5 linked regions of the Xenopus tropicalis genome follow. The protein of the gene in region 1 binds, or shares a complex with, the protein of each later gene. Links are inferred from orthologs where the notes say so. Each region holds a gene or a part of one and is shown on either strand. Other genes may lie near its edges.

What was found.
Region 2: coa1 (region 1) and smim20 share a complex: the UniProt entries of both Homo sapiens proteins name them as parts of the MITRAC (mitochondrial translation regulation assembly intermediate of cytochrome c oxidase complex) complex. The link is inferred for Xenopus tropicalis from reciprocal best matches to the Homo sapiens genes COA1 and SMIM20.
Region 3: coa1 (region 1) and tmem186 share a complex: the UniProt entries of both Homo sapiens proteins name them as parts of the mitochondrial complex. The link is inferred for Xenopus tropicalis from reciprocal best matches to the Homo sapiens genes COA1 and TMEM186.
Region 4: coa1 (region 1) and cmc1 share a complex: the UniProt entries of both Homo sapiens proteins name them as parts of the MITRAC (mitochondrial translation regulation assembly intermediate of cytochrome c oxidase complex) complex. The link is inferred for Xenopus tropicalis from reciprocal best matches to the Homo sapiens genes COA1 and CMC1.
Region 5: coa1 (region 1) and timm21 share a complex: the UniProt entries of both Homo sapiens proteins name them as parts of the MITRAC (mitochondrial translation regulation assembly intermediate of cytochrome c oxidase complex) complex. The link is inferred for Xenopus tropicalis from reciprocal best matches to the Homo sapiens genes COA1 and TIMM21.

Annotation. Positions count from the first base shown.
Region 1 is NC_030682.2:57,067,225-57,071,768, forward strand, and holds the start of coa1 (cytochrome c oxidase assembly factor 1 homolog), read left to right. Parts: upstream 1-1,612; 5' UTR 1,613-1,721; intron 1,722-4,544. UniProt on the Homo sapiens protein: Component of the MITRAC (mitochondrial translation regulation assembly intermediate of cytochrome c oxidase complex) complex, that regulates cytochrome c oxidase assembly.
Region 2 is NC_030677.2:31,912,720-31,917,476, forward strand, and holds the start of smim20 (small integral membrane protein 20), read left to right. Parts: upstream 1-1,824; 5' UTR 1,825-1,908; coding exon 1,909-2,017; intron 2,018-4,757.
Region 3 is NC_030685.2:38,351,847-38,356,583, forward strand, and holds the start of tmem186 (transmembrane protein 186), read left to right. Parts: upstream 1-1,633; 5' UTR 1,634-1,728; intron 1,729-4,344; 5' UTR 4,345-4,353; coding exon 4,354-4,737. Other genes in the region: pmm1 (phosphomannomutase 2), read right to left, coding at 1-67, 1,396-1,458. UniProt on the Homo sapiens protein: As part of the MCIA complex, required for efficient assembly of the mitochondrial complex I.
Region 4 is NC_030682.2:48,482,324-48,486,045, forward strand, and holds the end of cmc1 (COX assembly mitochondrial protein homolog), read left to right. Parts: intron 1-1,114; coding exon 1,115-1,205; intron 1,206-2,955; coding exon 2,956-3,076; 3' UTR 3,077-3,148; downstream 3,149-3,722. UniProt on the Homo sapiens protein: Component of the MITRAC (mitochondrial translation regulation assembly intermediate of cytochrome c oxidase complex) complex, that regulates cytochrome c oxidase assembly.
Region 5 is NC_030682.2:100,285,902-100,289,128, forward strand, and holds the end of timm21 (mitochondrial import inner membrane translocase subunit Tim21), read right to left. Parts: intron 2,587-3,227; coding exon 2,513-2,586; intron 1,340-2,512; coding exon 1,234-1,339; intron 1,152-1,233; coding exon 1,050-1,151; 3' UTR 876-1,049; downstream 1-875. UniProt on the Homo sapiens protein: Participates in the translocation of transit peptide-containing proteins across the mitochondrial inner membrane.

The sequences.
Region 1 (4,544 bases):
ACGGTACTTTTTCATATGACTGTACTGTATATGGTTTACTTCAGTTTTTGAGATAATGCAGCAGTTAAATTCATTATAGTCTGGTTGATGAAGGATATTTTGCAACTAAAACATAATTATTTGCTTAGGTGTTAGACACCTTTTAACCAAGACAAAAGAAAACATGATTAATATTTAGTAGATTAGTAAGCAAGTATAAACATATTCTGTTAACTGTTAACCTAGCTCTCCTAAACTCTCAACCGACTCAATTCAGAGTTTAAATGTTTAGTTGTAGATTAGAGGAGGACCTACGGGTAAAGCTTGGACACTGTAAGGAGACAGGGGAGGCGATGGGAATTGCTATGTGTAAGTGTGAGAAGCAAAAAGAGAGACGTGCAGAAGTATTGTGTGCTGTATACCTGCTTCCCTGCAAGAAGTCTGTAATAAAGTGTGTGTGATTCTTTGCAACTGGGTTAAGATGCCTACTTTTTTAGTAAAGACCGTGTACATGCATTTGACAGTAATGGGTGCCTGCCAGCCACAGGTAGCCCTGTTACAAGCCAACAGTATTACTTGGAAAAAGAAAGATTATTAAATAAAAAAAACCTGTAATGGTTTTGCAAGACTCCAGTGTCCCCAGTAAAGACTATAATGAATTTATCCGCCGCTTTATCCCAGAGCGAATCTGAAATACAGCCTCCTAAATACTTTAAAGGTTCAGTGGATTAAAACTGGTATTATTCACAGATATGCTGCATGAGCTGGGATCGGATTCAGAGCACAGCTGTTCAGAGATCCATATGAAATGTGACCTTTTGACCAGCTTATACTATTATTTAGGAAATTATATTCCGTTTGCTTTCAGTTAATTAAAGTGATACTGACACTAAAAAACTACTCTTCAAAATATGAATGTATGTAAAAAGTTACCTATAGGTCACGTTGATCATTTTTCACAGATAGGGCTGCTTTTGTAAGTAATTGTTGTTTGAAGTTCCTAAACCTGACTGTTTTGCCAACCTGACTGTCCCTTCTCAGCCTGTCAGTTATCATTTCTAATGCTAACAGACTCCTGCTGCACAAATATGGCTGCCCCCTCATAAAGCAACATGGGGGATCAGATGGGTAACATAAAAACAAATACTATTATGGAAAAATTATAAATAGCATGCAAAGGCAGTTGTAAAAAGGGTTTAATTTCTGGTGTCGGTATCTCTTTAACACCTGGTTGTATGACACACTGGTAACTGTTAAGTAATTCTGCAACTGCATAGAAGCTGGTTTCAGTATTGTTAAAGGGGTTGTTCACCTTCACATAAATGAAGCTATTTTAGCAGATTAGGTCATTTTAATAAAATATGTAATTTATCTGTTTTAGAGAAAATTACCTCTGAAGATAGCGTTTCTGTATAGGGCAGGATACAGCAGAGGCACCAGGGGAGGGGGTCGCTGAACCCTTTCTGCACAAGCCTGTGTCAGCGTGTGGAAGCTCTGTGTAACACTGAGCACTGGCAGTAGGAGTCTAAAGCTACTGTGCATGTTGCTTTTCTTGCCTCTCCTCTGATTGGCTGCTAAACTGCCCGGCACCTGGTGCTGCTGCTGTCTCTGCTATGAATGTTCAGGGAGGGAGGGGGGAGCAGGGGGGAAGCTCCCATGTGACTCACATTGCAGGGAAGAAACAAATGCTCCGCCTCCCTGAAATGTTTCTGTATGCCTTTGTGTGAACTGCAGCTTTTACAGTAAGTGTTAAACAGCTTATTCAAACACATAGATACACAGTCTTTGCGTGGCACATATTATCATACTCAGGGGAACATAATCTATCTTTTGGGTAGCAGTGAGAAAAGGTGGACAAACCCTTTAATGGGACTTGAAGCTCCTTTGCTTTCCACTGAACCTACGCACCAAACAGTGTGAAAAGCAGAGGAACTTTAAGTCACACAACCCATTACTTTACAACAAGGTGGGGGAGGTTGCATTATACTGTGAGTAAAAGGGGGGGTGGGGAAACTGGTTTCATTGAAAACAGGCAGACTATTACAATCTGTGAAATCAGGCATTTCTGTGTAAATATATATTCTGGAAGGTTAGTGTTTATGTACCTTACCTACATAAGCATAACTAAACAAAGTCTTGTCAAAAAGAGAGTATTATTATTATTAACATTTATTTATAAAGCGCCAACATATTCCGCAGCGCTGTACAATAAGTGGGTTACATACATTGGACATACAGAGTAACATATAAAGCAATCAATAACCGATACAAGAGGTGAAGAGGGCCCTGCCCAAAAGAGCTTACAATCTACAAGTATATTTAGCTTCTCCAGAGGGACATGAGAAGGTGAAAAAGAAATCATTCTATACTAGTAAAATGGGTAAAAATGTAAATTAGAATGCAACCAACAAATAGTCTTTATTTCTAATGTACTACAGAAAAACATCTGAAATGAAAATTTATTTGGAAGGTGAACAACCCATTTAAACTAATGCACTGATGCTGGAAATTAATTACAACAACTTGGGTTCCAAAGATTCCAGTATACGGAAATGAATGATATATGTATAACTCTGAATTGTGTTATACTGTATATTTACTTGTCAGTTATATTTAACTGACCCTATTCCTTAAGCATTAAAAATTCCACATTGCTAGTTTAGAAAAATTTGCATTTATATGCAAGCCATTTATACCCTTAAAGGAGAAGGAAAGGCTAATAAAGAGTTAATCTCAAGCTGCAGGCATACCTTCAGTTGTCTCAATAGTGCCCTTAAGTCTCCCCATATTTCTCCTGTTCAGATGATCAGAAGCATAATAGGGGGAAAAAATGCTGAGCTGTGTAAAGAAAGTTCCCATAATGCCATGCTCCTCCACCAAGACCAAGACTGGTTACATGCTCAGTTTGTAAGACTATGAGGAAGCTTCCTGCTGATTGGCCCAGATCCACATTCCTATGGGGGGGAGTGAGTTCTTAGCATTCTTTGGGGAGGGGGTGCAGGAGAGGGGAGAGAGGAGAGAGCTGGCACATGAATTACAGACACAAGAAATCTTTTGTATATATGTATATTTTTATTTATAAAGCGCTACTTATGTACGCAGCGCTGTACAGTAGAATACATTAATACGAACAGGGGGTTAATAAGATAATAGATAAATACAAAGTATAACAATAAATACAAATAAATACAAGATACAGTTGCAATAAGTTAAGAGTCAAAGACACAAGAGGATGGAGGTCCCTGCCCCGTAGAGCTTACAATCTATATGGGAGGGTAACTTACAGACACAAATAGGCAAATATAAGTGCTGTAGGTCACAGTGGGTGACATTACAATATAAGTGCTGATTCCCAGATCAGGTGCTGGGCGAGTTCTCCAAAAGGTAGTCTTTTAGTTTGGTTTTAAAAAGACTGGGGGAGGATTCTCTCCGGAGGAAATCAGGGAGGGCATTCCAGATGTAAGGGGCAGCAAGGCAGAAAGGTTAAGGCGGGAAACAGCAGTTGTAGTGGGGGGCGCAGCCAAGCGATTGCTCTGCGAGGAACGAAGGAGTCGGCCAGGGACGTACGGAGACACAAGGGAAGAGATGTAGTGAGGAGCAGAGGAATGGAGGGCTTTGAAGGTTAGAAGAAGTTTGTAAGATATTCTTTGTTTAATAGGAAGCCACGATAAGGCCTTTAGCAGGGGAGGGGCCTGAACTCTCCTGGATGAGAGGAGGAGAATTCTGGCAGCAGTATTTAATATAGACTGTAGGGGGGAAAGATGGGAGTTAGGGAGGCCGGTTAATAACAGGTTGCAGTAGTCCAGTCGGGATAGGATGAGGGCATGCATGAGCAGCCTAGCTGTTGCAGTAGAGAGAAAGGGACAGATTTTGCCAATATTGCGTAAGAAAAAGTGACAGGTTTTGACAGTGGAGTTAATGTGGTCAGAGAAGGAGAGACAGGAGTCAAAGATCACCCCCAAACAGCGTGACGAATCGACAGGGTTGATGAGGGTGCCTTCAATAGAGATAGAAAAGGGGGGAGTAGGACCAGGCTTAGGCGGAAAGATCATTAGTTCAGATTTTGACAGAGACCTCAGTGCAGCTTTTCTGTGAGTGCTTATGGCTGTATTTACATAGACTTTCTGATAAAGCTTACTTAGTTTTTACCTTTCCTTCTGTCTGTGACATCTTAGGTTAGCCATTCTGGCTAATTTGCCAGAACCAAAGATTGTCAGTCAAGGCCTGAAAGAAGGAGAAAGAGGATCCATCTAAATACTTGGAAAGTATTTTTTACAATGAGAGCTGCGAAGTTGTGGCTTTCTCTTCCTGAATCAGTTGTACTGGCTAATACATTAGAGAGCTGGTTGAATGCCTTTTTGGCAAGTGAGGGAATACAGGGTTATGGGAGATAGCTCTTAGTACAAGTTGATCCAGGGACTGGTCCAATTGCCATCTTGGAGTCAGGAAGGAATTTTACCTCCATCTGAGGCAAATTAGAGAGGCTTTGGAAGAATTTTTTTTTTGCATTCCTGTGGATCAACTAGCAATTGGACAGGTTTATATAGATATAAAAGTCTGAGCTA
Region 2 (4,757 bases), on another chromosome or scaffold:
ATTTAAAAATACCTGTCCTGATTTTTAGTTTTTGCATTGTTCTGTACAGAAGTATAGCTATGGAAAATGCCCTGGGATTTGCTTGGTTACCAAGAATGCGTGTAATATGACAGTGTTTCATGTTCAGAACTTTGGTGCTGGTATTATGCTGGTACAAGTGTTGGGGAGGTCATGTTTTCAGTCTATCGATTTCTGCATTTATCTTACTAGCATGTCTAGAATAAATGAAATCCTTATTGACTATTTTTGCAGTGATCTTACTGTCTTGTCTGAAATAATGTAATTGTCATTGTCCATTTCTAGAGCAGTCTTACTGGCGTGTCTGTGGCTAATGTAGTGCTTATTGGCCATTTCTACAGTGGTGTTACTGGCTTGTCTGGGGTTAACAGAGTTCTCATTGGCGATCTCTACAGTGGTCTTAAGCTGGCCATACACGCACCGATAATATCATATGAAACCTCATTTCGGCGAGGAGGAGGCTGCTGATATCGGTCGACTTGCCGATCGGCCAGGTTAAAAGATTTAGATCGGGCGCCATAGAAGGCACCTGAGCAAAATCTGCCGTCAGGGCTGAATTGGCAGAAGGAGGTAGAAATCCTATTGTTTCTACCTCCTTATCTGCCGTTTCAGCCCTGAACGGTTAGTGGCTGATTGAACGATCTTTCGTGCGACCGATGACAAATCGCCATGTGTGTGGCCACCTTTAGGTTGATATACTGATTATTCATTTTCTGTAGTGATTATACTGGCAGGTCTTGGGTTATTATGCCCTGATTATATTGACATGTCTGGGGTTAATACGCCTGTGTGCCTAGGGTGGTAGCTTTAGGGGGGTGGTCCTGGGGTGCTTATATAATTGAAAAAAATAAATAAAAAACTAAAAAACCTCCCCATTAGGGTTGCCAACTTTGCCAGAGGGGACGGGGCAGACGGCATTGGGGGTCGAGCAGTGATCACAATGATGTCAGTGATGCCGAAGTGGGGTTACTGCATCATTTGATGCAATTGGCTGGATTTCTGTCCAGTTTTCTCAGTGTTTTCAACTGGAGAGAACTGAACAGCCCTTTAAAAAATTTGGACGTCCATTCAAAACTCTTGTTTCAAAAGTGCCCAGGGTGGCCTTAAACTTAAATACAGCCCTGTCCTTTATCCATTTTATCTTGTAATTATACTGAAACATTTGTGGTTTATATGCTCCTTATCAATTGTTTGTGGTTATACTGACATATTTCAGTTAATATAATTAACTTATTTAATTATTATTTAACTTTTATTAATTTAAATGTTTTGTTTATACTGACATGTCTAGGGTTAAAATAATCTTTATCCATTTAAGGGATTATACTGGCACCTTTTGGGTTAATTTACATTTCCTTTTGTAATTATACTGGCATGTCTGTAGGATGTAAAATAGGTGTAGTATGTAGGGGTTGGGCCAGTTCTTTTTACCCCTCTTTATATTTTTTAAATGTTGGAAAGTATATGCTCAAATCTGTATATTAGCAGACGTGACAGGGGCATGCTTGGTGCACTGCATGGAAGGACAAACTTTGCTTATGTAGCATTTTTTTGCTACTTATTTATTTTACATACCAAAATTTGTAAAGACAAAAGAGTCATTTACTTAGGCAAACCTTATGCAGTACATGCAGTAAGTCCTTTCCTACCACAGCTGATGTATGTTCTATTTTTAGCGGAACCAAGGTAATAGAACTCTGTTTCCTCAGGTTGGGGAAGAGTTCAAGCAGAGCTCTAGTTATTAGCCAACCAGAACACAGCTTTCGTTAGTACTTGCTATATTGACAAATCATATCGCATAACACATCCACAGAAATGATTGCTGCCCGTGTCCTTGTTGCTTCCTGGTTTGCCCTTTTCTCCCATGTCTGACAAGGCTGCTTTGTGATCATGTCCAAAAACACCAGGATAGTTCTCATTTTCGGTGGTTTTGTCACTGCAGTGGCAGCAGCTTTCTACCCTATATTCTTTCACCCGCTCATGCACATAGATGAATACAGTAAGTAACCTGTAACTGGTACACAAGGAGAGCATCATTGCTACTGACATGCCAGTACTTCACATGGACACCATGATAGTTTTTTATTTTAAAGGGAATATAAATACGAGCATCGGTATTATATGGATTTATGTTATTTTAATTAATTACTTGTTCTCAGTTTAAATACTAGTTGCCAATAATTGTTAAAGGGAATTTAAACCCCAACACTTGTATGTGTTGTACATGTGATTTGTACATGTTGCGGATGACAGCTGATTAACAGCCCTGTAATAAAACTTGTGATGCTGCCTTCTGCAACATTATTTCAAGAGTCAGAACCATAAGAGTGAAGACACATGGAGCTACTAGTAGCAGCTACTTGTCACGGCTACTAAAACAGACAATGCTGATCATTTACTGATAACTGTCTCTACATGTGTTTTAGCAGAGGCAATTCTCAGTATTGTCTATGGCAGGGTGTTTAGTAGCTGTGACAAGTAGCTGCTACTAAGTAGCTCCATGTGTCTTCGCCCTAAGGGCTCTGGCACACGGGGGAGATTAGTCGCCCGCGATTAACTCCCTGTTCGCGGGCGACTAATCTCCCCGAGTTGCCTACCCCTGCCATCCCACCGGCGAACATGTAAGTCGCCGGCGGGATGGCAGACGCGGCGGCGCGATTTCGCGCAAGTCGCCGAAAAAGACTTGCGAGTCTTTTTCGGCGATTCCCTGAAACTGCCCCGCCGCGTCTGCCATCCCGCCGGCGACTTACATGTTCGCCGGTGGGATGGCAGGGGTAGGCAACTCGGGGAGATTAGTCGCCCGCGAACAGGGAGTTTTATCGCGGGCGACTTATCTCCCCCGTGTGCCAGAGCCCTAAGTGGGACAGAAAAATACTTGTGATTAAACGTACAACATTTAGTAACCCATAGCAACCAATCAAAAACATTAGCTGACCAGTAGATGCTGCCTGCTGATTGGTTGCTATGGGCTACAAGAGTTATTTTACCCCACTCTGTCTTCAACGAAGTGTAAATCAGTTCTTTGCGCACAGGTTATGGCATTAACTGTTATTATGAAATAGGTTGCAAAATAAATCTGGTGATGATAAAGGGATATTGCTCCATCTTTTTTCACAATGAAATTTTGAAGGGACACTAGCATCACTAAATACAGTTTGTATTTGTGTCTGAAAACAATGCGCAATATTCATTAAAGTGTATTTGTAAAAATGATTTGCAGAAAGGGATGCTATTTTTTCACTGTCTATTCACATATTCACTTTACTCTATGTAGATTTATCATATATTAACATAACCTATAACAGAATTATGTAGTACAGGTATGGGATCCCTTATCTGGAAACCCCTTATCCAGAAAGTTCTGAATTACGGAAAGCCCATCTCCCATAGACTCTATTATAAACAAAACAGTACCTTGTACTTGATCCCAAGATATAATTACTCCTTATTGGAGGCAGAACAGCCCTATTGGGTTTATTTAATGGTTAAATGATTCCCTTTTCTCTGTAATAATAAAACAGTACCTGTACTTGATCCCAACTAAGATATAATTACCCCTTATTGGGGGCAGAACAGCCCTATTGGGTTTATTTAATGGTTAAATGATTCCCTTTTCTCTGTAATAATAAAACAGTACCTTGTACTTGATCCCAACTAAGATATAATTACTCCTTATTGGGGGCAGAACAGCCCTATTGGGTTTATTTAATGGTTAAATGATTCCCTTTTCTCTGTAATAATAAAACAGTACCTGTACTTGATCCCAACTAAGATATAATTACCCCTTATTGGGGCAGAACAGCCCTATTGGGTTTATTTAATGGTTAAATGATTCCCTTTTCTCTGTAATAATAAAACAGTACCTGTACTTGATCCCAACTAAGATATAATTACTCCTTATTGGAGGCAAAGCACTCCTATTTGGTTTATTCAATATTTAAATTATTTTTAGCAGACTTAAGTTATGGAGATCCAAATTACGGAAAGATCCCTTATCCGGAAAACCCCAGGTCCCAAACATTCTGGATAACAGGTCCCATACCTGTATTAATATCATATTTTGCAGTCTGCCACTAGGTGGTGCTGGTAGGTAACTCTGACAGCATAGAAAGCTTTCTGTTAAAAACCCAGAACTATGGCATTGCTGCGAAAATGCCAGATGCTGTTTAACAAGCTCTGAGGATTCTTCAAATTCCCCCCTAGAAAAAAGAAAAAATCTTTGTGTAGACATAGACTTCATAAAGGGGTAGTGCTCCAACAGGGGTTCGTAATTTGGGATTTTGCTGAACTCACTTTAAGCCTTTTGTTTTAATCACAAAATCAGTATAGTTTATGTTATTTCTTGAGCTTAACAGGGAAATATAAACTACTTCATGTTTGGTTCTTGTGAGGTAGATAATAGATACCTGTGCGCAGTTAAGCAGAAGTCCCTTGTGCAGGGAAATTATCTGTGCACTTGTTTGCATGTAACAGTTATTTCCAGTGAAAGCAGTGTGCACTACATAGTGTAGTCCATATCAGGGCTGTGGAGTCGGAGGCAATTTTGGGTACCTGGAGTCGAAGTCGGAGTCGGCAAAAAATGAACCGACTCCGACTCCTACTAAATTTAAATGGGAATAAAAAAAAAAAAATAAAGCAAGTTTAAATGTCCCAATTCACAAACAGTCATAATTAATTGCTTCTCTGCTATAAGAATAAAGCCCAATGCACGCAGTGCATAAACGAACACGTTGAGTGAC
Region 3 (4,737 bases), on another chromosome or scaffold:
CAACAACCCCAACTTTTACCCTTTTTCTCAGCTCTTCTAGAAATTCTGCCATGTCTTTTGTGACTTTCTGTAAAATACAATAATAATATAATAAAATATACTGCTCTGGGAAAAATCGTACTCATAATTCTCTCAAACATGGGGTCCAAAAGATGGACCCTTTATCATGGTTGAACTTCAGCTCCCTATTGCCTGCATCATTCATGTAAATGCAAGACATGCTGGGGTCATTTATCATTGTCCCACGTGCAAATGCTACAGCTCAAAGGGGCTCAAAATTCTGCCTATTACTGACCATTTACCCAGCATAAGGGCCAGCTATGCTCTGCACCTCACAGCAGATTAATAATTAATGTGCTGGCGGGCATGAATTTTTAGCCTCCCAAAGATAGAATGAAATGCAATTAGGGGGGAAGGATAGAAAACTCCTATATGCCCCCTCCCCAGTGGTCCCTTGTGAATACAGCTCTGCAGAGTGCCTGTTTTTTCAGGTTGTCAGGTTGGGGGTGCACAGGGTCTTGAACTCCTCGCTGGACCACAAAGACCTGCATCCATGGTGTGAATGCAGGCTGAGTTCAATTGTGCAAAAAACATGGCAGTTTGAACCAATATCTGCATTTTGTTAAAATTATCCTTACTTTTTATGCAGACAGTGCATAAAAAAAAAAAAGTAATCTAGGATTACTCGAAGATACAGAGCTTCTTGGTGATTTCACCTACTTGTAGCAGTGCTTGTCATTAGCAGTGTGTCCCAAAATGTACTCCAAGCAGCATGTACTAAATGTTTATTGTCATAAAGCAAGCTAAGACCTTTGTTGTTTGTCAGTAAAAAAGATAAACCCAGTCACAAGTACAAGAAAACTTATTCCCCATAGAAGGTGTAAACACTGACCATCACTTTTTTAGAAGTAAAGTGAAATGTATTAATTTTTTACCTAATTTTACCTACTTCTAGACTTAGTACAAGGAAAAAGCTTAATCACTGATGTGGTCACAATTTGTTAGCTACCTCTTAGTACTTATAATAATGTTATAATATATAAAGGGAATTTAACCCCCCCCCCCCTTCTAAATCAATTCTATGCAATTAGCAGGTCAAAATGGATGCATTTTACTGAAATGCAACATACACTATGAATTCCCGGTTGCAGCCCGGAATCCAACATAAACTATAAACTTAATGGGGCAGAAGGGTAGAATTTTGTACTGTTATTTATATTCTGGTAAAGTCTTAATCTTACTCTGTCCTATTGCGTTAACTTTAAGCACTGCATTTACATGCAGTATATAAATGCAACATATACACACATAACATGTTTGCAATGCTGTGTGAAAATAAACTTGTGCCAAAAGTGACAGATCCTTGTGAATAGTTCTCGGTTCTGATACTGGTACCTGCCTGGCTGCTGTCAGGGTGCCATCCACATCGAACAAGCACAGAACGTCACATTGAGCCATGACTGCTGCCAGTCGGATCTTTCTCAGCTCAGATGAATGGAGAAACACAGTCCTTTCAAATGTCAAACAAGCCACATCACAACTTCCTATTTGGGTCCTGAAGCCCAGAGCATGACGGGAACTGTATTGCCGGAGTCAGGATGTCACCGACTGTTCATTGACAAAAGAACTCAATCTCCCAGAATGCCTCGCATGGAATCGGAAGTGATTGTAGCTTAGTGCGCTGGGAAGTTTAGCAAAGGAGAAGCGTGTGTAGGAGTGCGGACAGGGGTGAGTATAGAAGAATCGAGCTGCCTGTCCTTCCCTTAGGCTTAGGGAACTCGTACAAGGAAGTGTTCAAATATGACATTTTATTTAAAAAATTGATGTATTTAGAAACAGAAAATTGCTATGCACAAGAGAAATGCAAAAATAAATAAGAAGGGCGTTGGGTGCCTTGATGTTGGTTTTATTAGTAACTGGTGTTTTAAAGAAATAAACTTGCACCACAAATTTAACAGATCACATTCATTGACAGCGTTGCGCTACGTTAACTCCGGCTTGTCCCAGCCTGGCCCGGAAAGGCAGGAAAACTGGCACCAAGGGGGCAATCCTTTCTTATTCAGTCTGATAAACAACTAAGGAAAAGGGGCATCAAAGTGGGTATCTTTGCCATCCTGCCAGCAGATATATGGGTTAAACTGAGTGGCCAAGGGCGTTTAACCCCTTCATCACCCCTGTTACTTACTCAAATAGGCAGAATCATCATTCATTTATATAATGCCAGCAAATTATGCACCACTTCACAATAAATTTAAACAAACAGGGATTTTAAAAAGTTTAACAAACACGGGTATGCAGAGTAAGAATAGGGTGAGAGGGCCCTGCTCGCAAGAGCTTACAATCTACAGGACTGCAAAGATGCCCAGTAACATCTAGTTATGCCAATGTGCATTGGTATTTAATCCATTGTTGCCACAAGTCTTTTTTTTAAAGGGATTATTCACCTTTTTGTCAATTTTTACTATTTTAAGAATGTCCCAAATTTTTCATTGGTCTTCATTTTTTAACTTTTATAATTTTTCAATTATTTGCCTTTCTCAGAAATTCTCTTTCCAGCTGTCATATGGGGGGTCACTGACCCATTATTATTCTTCCGCTTCTTCTTCTTCTTAGTGCCCCCCATTTTCTAACCGCTACTCCTCCTACAGTTTTAGGGGTACAACACCCAAACTCCCCACACTTCTTCGGCCTATAGAGGAGCAGGTTGCTTGTGCTTTTCTAAGCGATTGCGCCGCTCCGAACCCCCCAATTTTTCCATTGACTTTGACAGGGAAGATATTCAAACTGCTGGCACACTTACAGCTTTGAAGCTGCACCCCCCAAACTTGAATAACATAATAATGGGGTCACCCCGAATGAAACAGCAACATTTGTTGGATGACCCCCAAAGTGGGAGGGGCCAATCAAATTTTACCCATTGACTTTAATGGGGAAATTGAAACTGCTGCCAATCTTACAGCTTTGAGGCTACACTCCCCAAACTTGAATCACATAGTCATGGGGCCAGCCTGAATGAAAATATGATGATTGTTGGATGCCCAAAAGTGGGCGGAGCTGTGAACAGCCAATCAGATTTTACCTGTTGACGGTGGAAGTCCCCAAACTTTGCAGGGTTAGGCACCAGGTGACTGTGGTTCAAGGTTAAAAAAGTGGACGGAGCCACCAACAGCCAATCAGAGTTTACCTATTGACTTTCAATTTTGCTTTAAATTTAAAATGCTGCCAGTCTCACACTATTTATGCCAGGGTGCCCACTGTTTGTCACTGGGTGACTTTGACTCAAGGTTAGAAAAAGGGGCACAACCACCAATCACAATTCACCTATTGACTTTTATTGGTTTAAACTGCTGCCGTTCTTTAACTATTAATCCTAGGGTCCCTAAACTTACCAGAGTTAGTCACTGGGTAACTGCAGTTCCAGGTTAGAAAAAGGGGGTTGAGCCACCAACCACCAATCAAATTTAAGTTGCTGCCATTCAGACACTATTAAAACCAGGGTCCCCAAACTTTGCACAGTGGTTTTTACTGTATAACTGTGGTCCAAGGTCAGAGAAAGTTGGAGGAGCCCATGCAGTGACTTCATGTTTTTCAACCCAACATGAAGTTTTTTCTCAAACTTCCCTTTCTAGTTATTATTGAAACTTTTTAGCCTTATCCTTATATACATGCCCTCTCATTTTAATGTTCTGGCCTCTTTTAATCCAGGGCCTGGTTTCTACGTTAAATTGACCCCTAGCAACCAGTTAGCTGCTGAAAATCCAAATTGCAAATTGTTTCCGAATATCACTCTCTACATCATAGTAAAATTTAATTTAAAGGTGAACTACCCCTTTAAATGAGAGACTGAAAGATGAACGATAAGTAATAATAACAATAAAATTGTTACCTGAGAAAGAAATAACTTTTTGAATTTAAAACTTGGAAAGAGGCAGAAGTGGAAAGCAAATCATTAAAAAACAAAATTAAAAAAAAAAAAGTAGCTGAAATCATGCCATTCTATAACATATTCTGGCCTTGGAACATGTGGTATGACAAATTATTTGAGCACTACATGTAAATTGCAGCACAGTACTGGTATAGACAGTCCAAGAGGCAGTTAATTAGCAACAGGTACCATAGCCACAATGCAGTAGTTTGGAACACAGAATGTAAGATGAATAATAGAGGGTATGAACAGAAAGATAAGAAATACAAGATAAGAATAGAAAGCTGTGGGTGGAAAATAAGCAGAATAGGAAGGCTAATAATTTCAATTTTCTGTGAACTTTTCCTTGAAAAATTTTAGGTAATGTGAGTATATATAAGGCATTATGATCTAACAGTTATATTGTTTCTCCTTTGCAGGACCCAGTCATGGCCCATGTATGCCTGATATCTAGATGCATAAAGTATTTACACATGGGCCAGTTGGCCTGGAGTTCCAAGTTACTTTGCAGAACAACTTTCTTCAGATCCTCTTCAGTGTCACTGACATCATGTCAAGGCTGTTCTTATCTCTTTCTTCATCATCGAAGCAAAGCACCACTTCCTCTAATGAATCAGATTTATTTCTCTTCATCTCCTCCTCTCTTAGCCGGGATCAGTAACACTGAGAAGTTCACGATGATTTATAAGTTTCCAGGAATAAAGTACTGCCGAGCTGTTTCTCGTCTAAAGCTTCTTCAGACAGCACTGACTGCTATATTCCTTCCGCCCATGTATTATTACTATATTCAAGGTCAGGTCACATATTTATGG
Region 4 (3,722 bases), about 8.6 Mb from region 1:
AGATTGCTTCCTGATATGCCCACCTAAGGTGGGTGATATTGAGCTAATGTAATCGTTTGGCCCTAGGGTCAATACACAGCAATCTGTAATATATCGATATATATCGGCTATATGAAATACAACATATACTATTTCTTTTCATGTGAGTGTGGTTGGTATGTGTCTGTGTATGTGCCCTTGTCCAGAGAAACCACAGAAACAATGTGGCATGAGAAATGGCAGCTTGAGCCGCTTTTTTCACCCAGAATAGTTTTTCTTCTGCTTTTCTTCTAAGGTGTGAGGCAGCAGCTACTAATAGCTTTAACCACCAGAACAGAAATTTGCTTTTTGTACACCCTCCTTACAGTATTTTTCCTTATAGTTTTAAGGGGAAGTTTACATTCACACTTATTAGGTTAGTAAAAGAGTGCTTTGTGGCCTGTATGATTTATGTTGCGTGACATTTTGCAAGTGCAATGTGACCTGGCAGATTTGCCCATTGCACTTCCATTTTAATTTACTATTAATTTGTTTAGCCTTAGAGTGTTCCCCCCCCTTTGTATAGGTGGCATTACTGTTGGAAAACCAAGAAAATGATAATGGCCCTATATAACATCAAAAAGTTTATACTGGCTGCGCTAGTACACAATAAAGGTAGAGAAGAAAAATAAATACATGTGTTAATACATATACAGGTATGGCATCCATTATCTAAAAACCCGCTACCCAGAAAGCTCTGAATTTCAAAAAGGCCATCTCCCATAGACTCCATTTTAATCATATAATTCACATGTTTTACATAATTAACTTTTTCATCCAGGTATAGCTCCATATAAAATATTAATTTACTGTGACACAAATGTGATTCATTCTTTCCTCTTGTGGATCAGTTGAATGCTACAGTACATGGAATTTATATGGGTAAAAGACTGAACTTGACATGTGTCTGTGCCTTTTTGTACCTGAGCTACAATGCTTTTGCAGCAGTACATAAAGCACAGACTTGCAATGCAGTGACAGGGAAAAAATGTAAGCCAGATGCCATAATGCAGTTATTTACTGCAGGTTGTTGTGTCTGAACTGCAGTATTGAACAATAAATTCAGTACCATGCTGGTTTGTGTATTTTTTTCCAGCTTTTACAAAATGTTGCAAGGAGAGTGGCCTCCTGATGGTGGTGAAATGCCGAAATGAAAACGCAGCGCTGAAGGAGTGCCTGACTCTTCAGTAAGTTGACTTTTCTGTTTTGATATTTATATATAATAGCCTTAAAAACTGTGCAAACATTGTATAAAGTATAATAATAAAATAAAAAATTTTGGTTTCCTTTAGTGCAAATATCATACATGATTTAAACATGATTATTAACTAGGGACAGTCTTGTAATTCAGATTGCCTCTCATGTGCTAGCCCAAATAAAAATCCTTAACCCTGTAACAGGAAAACCCTCTTTCTTTATGGTTAGTAGATAATAGGCCATATATACTAAACAGAAATATCTGTAAGATTCCTTCAGTTATTTCCAATAGGGGTAGTTAATGAAGAATTTGCATACATTAAAAGCAGCCCTGTCAGAAAGGAAACAGACTTAAATGACACCTATCAGGCTAACAGAGGCTGCACTATTCTGCATGCTTGTGTCCCAGAATGGCCGCCCACACCAGGAGCTCCCTCACAGAGCGGGCGGCATAGTGCCGGGGGTGGAGAATAGTCTCCCCCAGTTCAAATGCAAGCTCTATTATCCCACATCTCTGGTGGGGGGAAACAATTTTCCTCAATACGTACCCTGTACAGTGTTGCAGAAATAGTATTGGTATTGATATGGAAGTGGTAACTGAGGAGAATATTTAAGGCTACATGCTCTGCAGTGGGGGGAAATTGCCATCAAACAGAGGGGATCCCAGAAGACTAAAATTGCCTGGAAGCTATTCTCAGTAATAGCCTAAATTTATAATGACTTTCAGCCAATCACAGGAGCAAGTCACACTTTCCTGTCAAATAGTATTCTGGCCTTTCTCTTTGTTATTTAAGATTTTGCATATACACACCAGACAAATATAAAGGGAATATGATGAGATTGTGTAGTGGCCCCTGACATAGAGGCAAGCTGAAGTAAAGAGAGAGAGGCCACTGTTTAGGCACATAAAGCAACTATATATATACATATATACATACATACAACCCTACATATATTCTTTTCCAACTGATAATGCCAATATCACAGTGAAACTTAGGCAAAAAAGGCATAGCTACTAGCACTTAACACAGTGATGTACACACTCCTGGCTGATACTTATACACAGCACCTGGATCACTACTCCGCGTTCTTCACTTGCAACTATCTCTGGTTCCATGAGCAGGGAATTGGCAGCAGAAAGGAGGCAATTCAGTTACAGAACAGGAGAGTAAAGAACTGGAACTTGTAGGAGAGGGAATTCTTCTGTATTATATTTTACATGTGTATATATACATCTTTTATTTGGAAACTGATTATCCAGAAAGCTCCTAATTACCAGCTCCTGTCTATTAAAGCAAATGATTCTTCTCTGTAATAGTAAAACAGAACCTTGTACAGCACAAACTCAGCAAAAAAAATCCTATTGGGTTTAGTTTATGTTTAAAAGATTTTTTTTTAGCAAATATGTGGAGGCATTTTTTCTTTTTTTAAATCTTAACTTTCCAAGATGTATTATGCAACAAAACTGGGACAATTCCGAAACCGAAAACGCTTTATCTAAAACCTGTCGAGATCATGTCACAGTCAATGGCAGAAAGATCCCTTATGCAGAAAACCAGGTCCCAGGCATTTCAGATACAGGTATGGGACCTTTCTGGAGCCGGAACTTTCTGGATAACAGGTTTCTGGATAATGCATCCCAAACCTGTAAAAGATCCCAAACTTGTAATTCAAAATGGATTCCCTATAGATGTACTGCTGCTTCCTTATTGCCATTGTGTTGTATTCTTATTCCCAAAGCTACAAAGATCCGGCTTTATATGAAGAATGCAAGCAGGAATATTTAAAAGAAAGGGAAGAGTTTCAAAAAACAGGAATCTCGTCAAAGAAAAGGCAAGAGAAAGTGCCAAATAGTATATAATCAAACTGTCTTCTCCTGAGTGTTTCCCCATTTCTAGTTTCTTATAATAAATGTTTCTTTTGTAAAAAAAAAGTTCTGTTTATCTGCTGCTTTTATTCTCGGCTTCTATATCCGCATTGAATTATTTTTGTTTCAAATAGGCAGGAACTCATTTAGGCAAATACCATGATGATATCTATATAGAAGTGTTTGCTGTAAGAGTTCTACGTGCCGCAGTATGGGGCAGGGCCGAGACACATACGGCCGAGCACCTTATTGGAATGTGTGGAAACTTCAGTACTTTTCCTGCCCCTTCATTTGATTTCAGTTTGCTAAAGTATTGTGGCTATATATTTTAGCCGTGCTCCCATAGTTGTGTCTGTGGACATGGGAGGGTACAAAGAGAAGACTGCAGCTTTAAGTTGCACACCAGAGTAGAAGACTGCTTTGTGTAAGTGCAGATATACAGTAAGGGACATACAGTATTAAGGCATAGGAATGGTAGCTTATCTGAAAGTGTGTGCAAAGATGGAGTTGATATCTATATATGACAACTGTTTCACAGAGCACTATGGGAAATGTAGTGTTTGGGGAAATGGATGGAGTAGGTTTACCCCTTCCCCTATTACACCGATTTATAGCGAGTGTGTAACACAGTAAGTAGGCT
Region 5 (3,227 bases), about 43 Mb from region 1:
TTACTTTACTACAAATAATGATCAGAAAAATTGGAATCAAAACAAGTATTTATAATGGATAAATCCAAAGGCATTAACACTGACTTCTTATTCAGTAAAGTTTTTTTTTTTTTTAAACTGAATGAATACATGATGAATACATAATATACATAAAAAATTGAGCTGCAAAAAATAAATCTAGGAAAATGACTTTAAACCTAGCAGCCTGCCGTTCATTGCACGATGCCAAATGTTTGTGTCTGCATGTGAGGTTGCTGTGTGCGACACTTGGCATGTGTGCGAGTGTGCGGGGTAATACTGCCATCAGACCTGTTTATATAATATTTATTTCAAGTAGGGATACACCAAATAAAGGATTTGGTTCGGGATTCGGCCTTTTTCAGCAGGATTCAGCCCAATCTGTGCCTCTGGCCTAACCAAATCCAAAAAATCACGTGAGACACGGAAGTTGAAATTTTTCCTATTTTTTCTAGATTTAACCCTTCTAAAACCTAATTAGCATATGCTAATTAGGATTTGGGCAAATCCTTTACAAAGGGTTCGGCCAAACCCAAAAAATGGATCCCTAATTTCAAGTGTTATGGTGAATTTGTACTGTACTGCCCAGGTATCAACATCATTTAGAACAGCAATGACCCCTATTCTTCCAGCTAAACTTCAACTTGGTAAAATACCTTCCCTCCTCTCTGCCTATGCATTGCTCTGTCTGTCAGGCAGAAGAAACAGTGCTTCTTAAGGCTGAAGGCACAAAGGTGGTATTAATCATTTTGAATAATGAACAAAATATAATTAAGCAAATATTCAAGTTATAAGCATGAAAGGCAGAGGAGGATATGTGGAGTGTTAAATAAAACAAAGGGGGTTCATGAAAGAGATTAAATTACATGATTCATTTATTTTCAGAATAAAAAGAAGCCATGATTCAGTTTCTCACAGACATTTGAACTGAAGGCCCTGCCTACAGCAAAACCTTCTAACATTACAGGAAACCACACAGTTGTAAAGCACCTTTTATACAGATATAGCAGCGGCAAACAATGATTTTCTTCTTAACTTTGGCGTCTGTTGTCTTCTATGACGATTGTTCGCCGTGGGTAAGTATCAATTTCAACAAATATGTACTGAAATTCATATTTTCCACTTTCTGGGTTCTAAAGGAACAAAATATAGAATATTTCAGGTATATGATATAAATGACAAGTAACAAGCCTACAACTGTTCATTACCACATACCTCTTTCACCTCTGTGTGCACTGTTCCTTGCTTTCTTGGTTCCAAGCCCTCTATGTAGAACTTTAGCCTCATGCACTTTATGCCATCTTTCACATACTCCATGTGACTAAAGCAAAGAATACACAACATTTAGTAAAAAAAAACAAAAAAACAAAATCAGGTTGTTAATTTTAAGGTGATCTACCCCTTTAACTATAACTATAGATGTATTTTAAGACAACCTATACTTTTTTAAATTATTTACATTTTTTATAGCCGTCAGCTGGCATGCATTGCTAGAGATTCTGACCTAGACCTATATACATTCACTTGCATGTTTACTATGTCTGCAAATGTTTTCTCTGGGCATTCTGTTTTTTTGGCAGACTCCAAAATCAAGCGATTGTCTGATGATGGCGGTACCTTAAAATATAAGCTCCACTGGGCAGGAGCTGATGTGAATGAACAATAGCTGTGTTGTTTTTGCCACTATTAAATAAAGGGTAACAATTATAACAAAGTGCATACATATAGGAGACTGCCCAACAATGCAGATGAATGTCAGACAGATTGTAAGTGCAATAAAAAATACTGCACCTGTGTAAAATAAATTTGGAAATTGCACAGTGTGTCCATATGCATTTTACAGGGGTGGCATTTCTACTGCACTTAACAAAAAAAAACAAAAACAAAAATCTCCTGTTGTGTGCATACAACATATGGTGGATCAGGTCATAATTTCATTTTAATTCATTGTATTTAGGTTGCGAGTGTTTGAGTGCTTTGAATTCTTTTTATCAAAAAATAAACTTTGTGAGGGTGTTTCTCATTCATTCCACTATGCCTACGGACCACTTTTATGAATGGTTAGCCCTCCAAGTTTGGCACCACTCCTGCACCCCTACAAAATGTATGCACTCCATAGCTTGGGTCTCACAATTCCCTTACGATAGTCCGCTCAGAGTAGCCCCAAAGAATCTTAATCTAAAATTTACAATGGTGGTATCTAAAGTACTTTATGTCAAACCACATCTGTTGCATGTGAAGGGAAAAAGTACATATAATAAGAGAATTAACTGTACTCCAGTACAAATTCCCATTGATAATTTACCATTCAGGTTTTCTTCACTAATATCTGTGTGCTTTTATGACCATGAAGGAAAACCCATTATATCAGGTGTGGTAAAGTTTGTAATTCACAATAATTCTTAATAATGTATACAGCTTTCTATGTAATAAACATTACAACAATATGGCAGTAAACTTTTATTTAATTTTTTTTGACAAACCTAAAACTTACCTGACATGCTGTCTTCTACCACGTCTTGTAGTCTCTCCGTAACCTTTGATGGGCTCACCAAAAGCACCAATAACCTTTTAAAAGTTAAAGAAAAAAAGTTAAGTAAAAGCAAGTTAAAGCAAAGAAGGTGGACATCACATTGGTTAATCAAATATTTTTTGCAAGCAGCTAGCCTGTATAGACTATAGTAAACTTTGCAACTGTTTTGTGTGCTTGGTCCATCAAGCCAATGCAGTCTCTGCCTGGCACGATTTTTAAACCTGCCTGACTGATATCTGGCTGATTTTTAAGGCCAGTTGGAGGGCCCCATACATGGACAGATAAGCTGATGCCTCTGATTGAAGGGGCCAAACTAGCATCTTAAATCTGCCCACGTATAGCCACCTTTACCAGTACTACAAAGGACATATTTATTGTGTATAGGAATGACTGAGAATTTTATAGAGAATTGGCTTTTCAACCTTATGATAAATATGACCAAGACATCTGCTCATTCGCTTGTAAATGAAAGTCACACCTCATTTGGATATTTCAGCTGGAGCAATTAAAATCAGTTTTGAGAGGGTTGTCTCTAAGCATGGTGTCTATAACCCGTGTCATTTTTTTATTGGCATCCCATATAAGTGTATAGCCTATGCTACATGAGTAATTTGCATCAGTCAATACAGATCTTAAAAAAAAAAAAAAAAAAAAAGACATTTTGCATAAATATTTT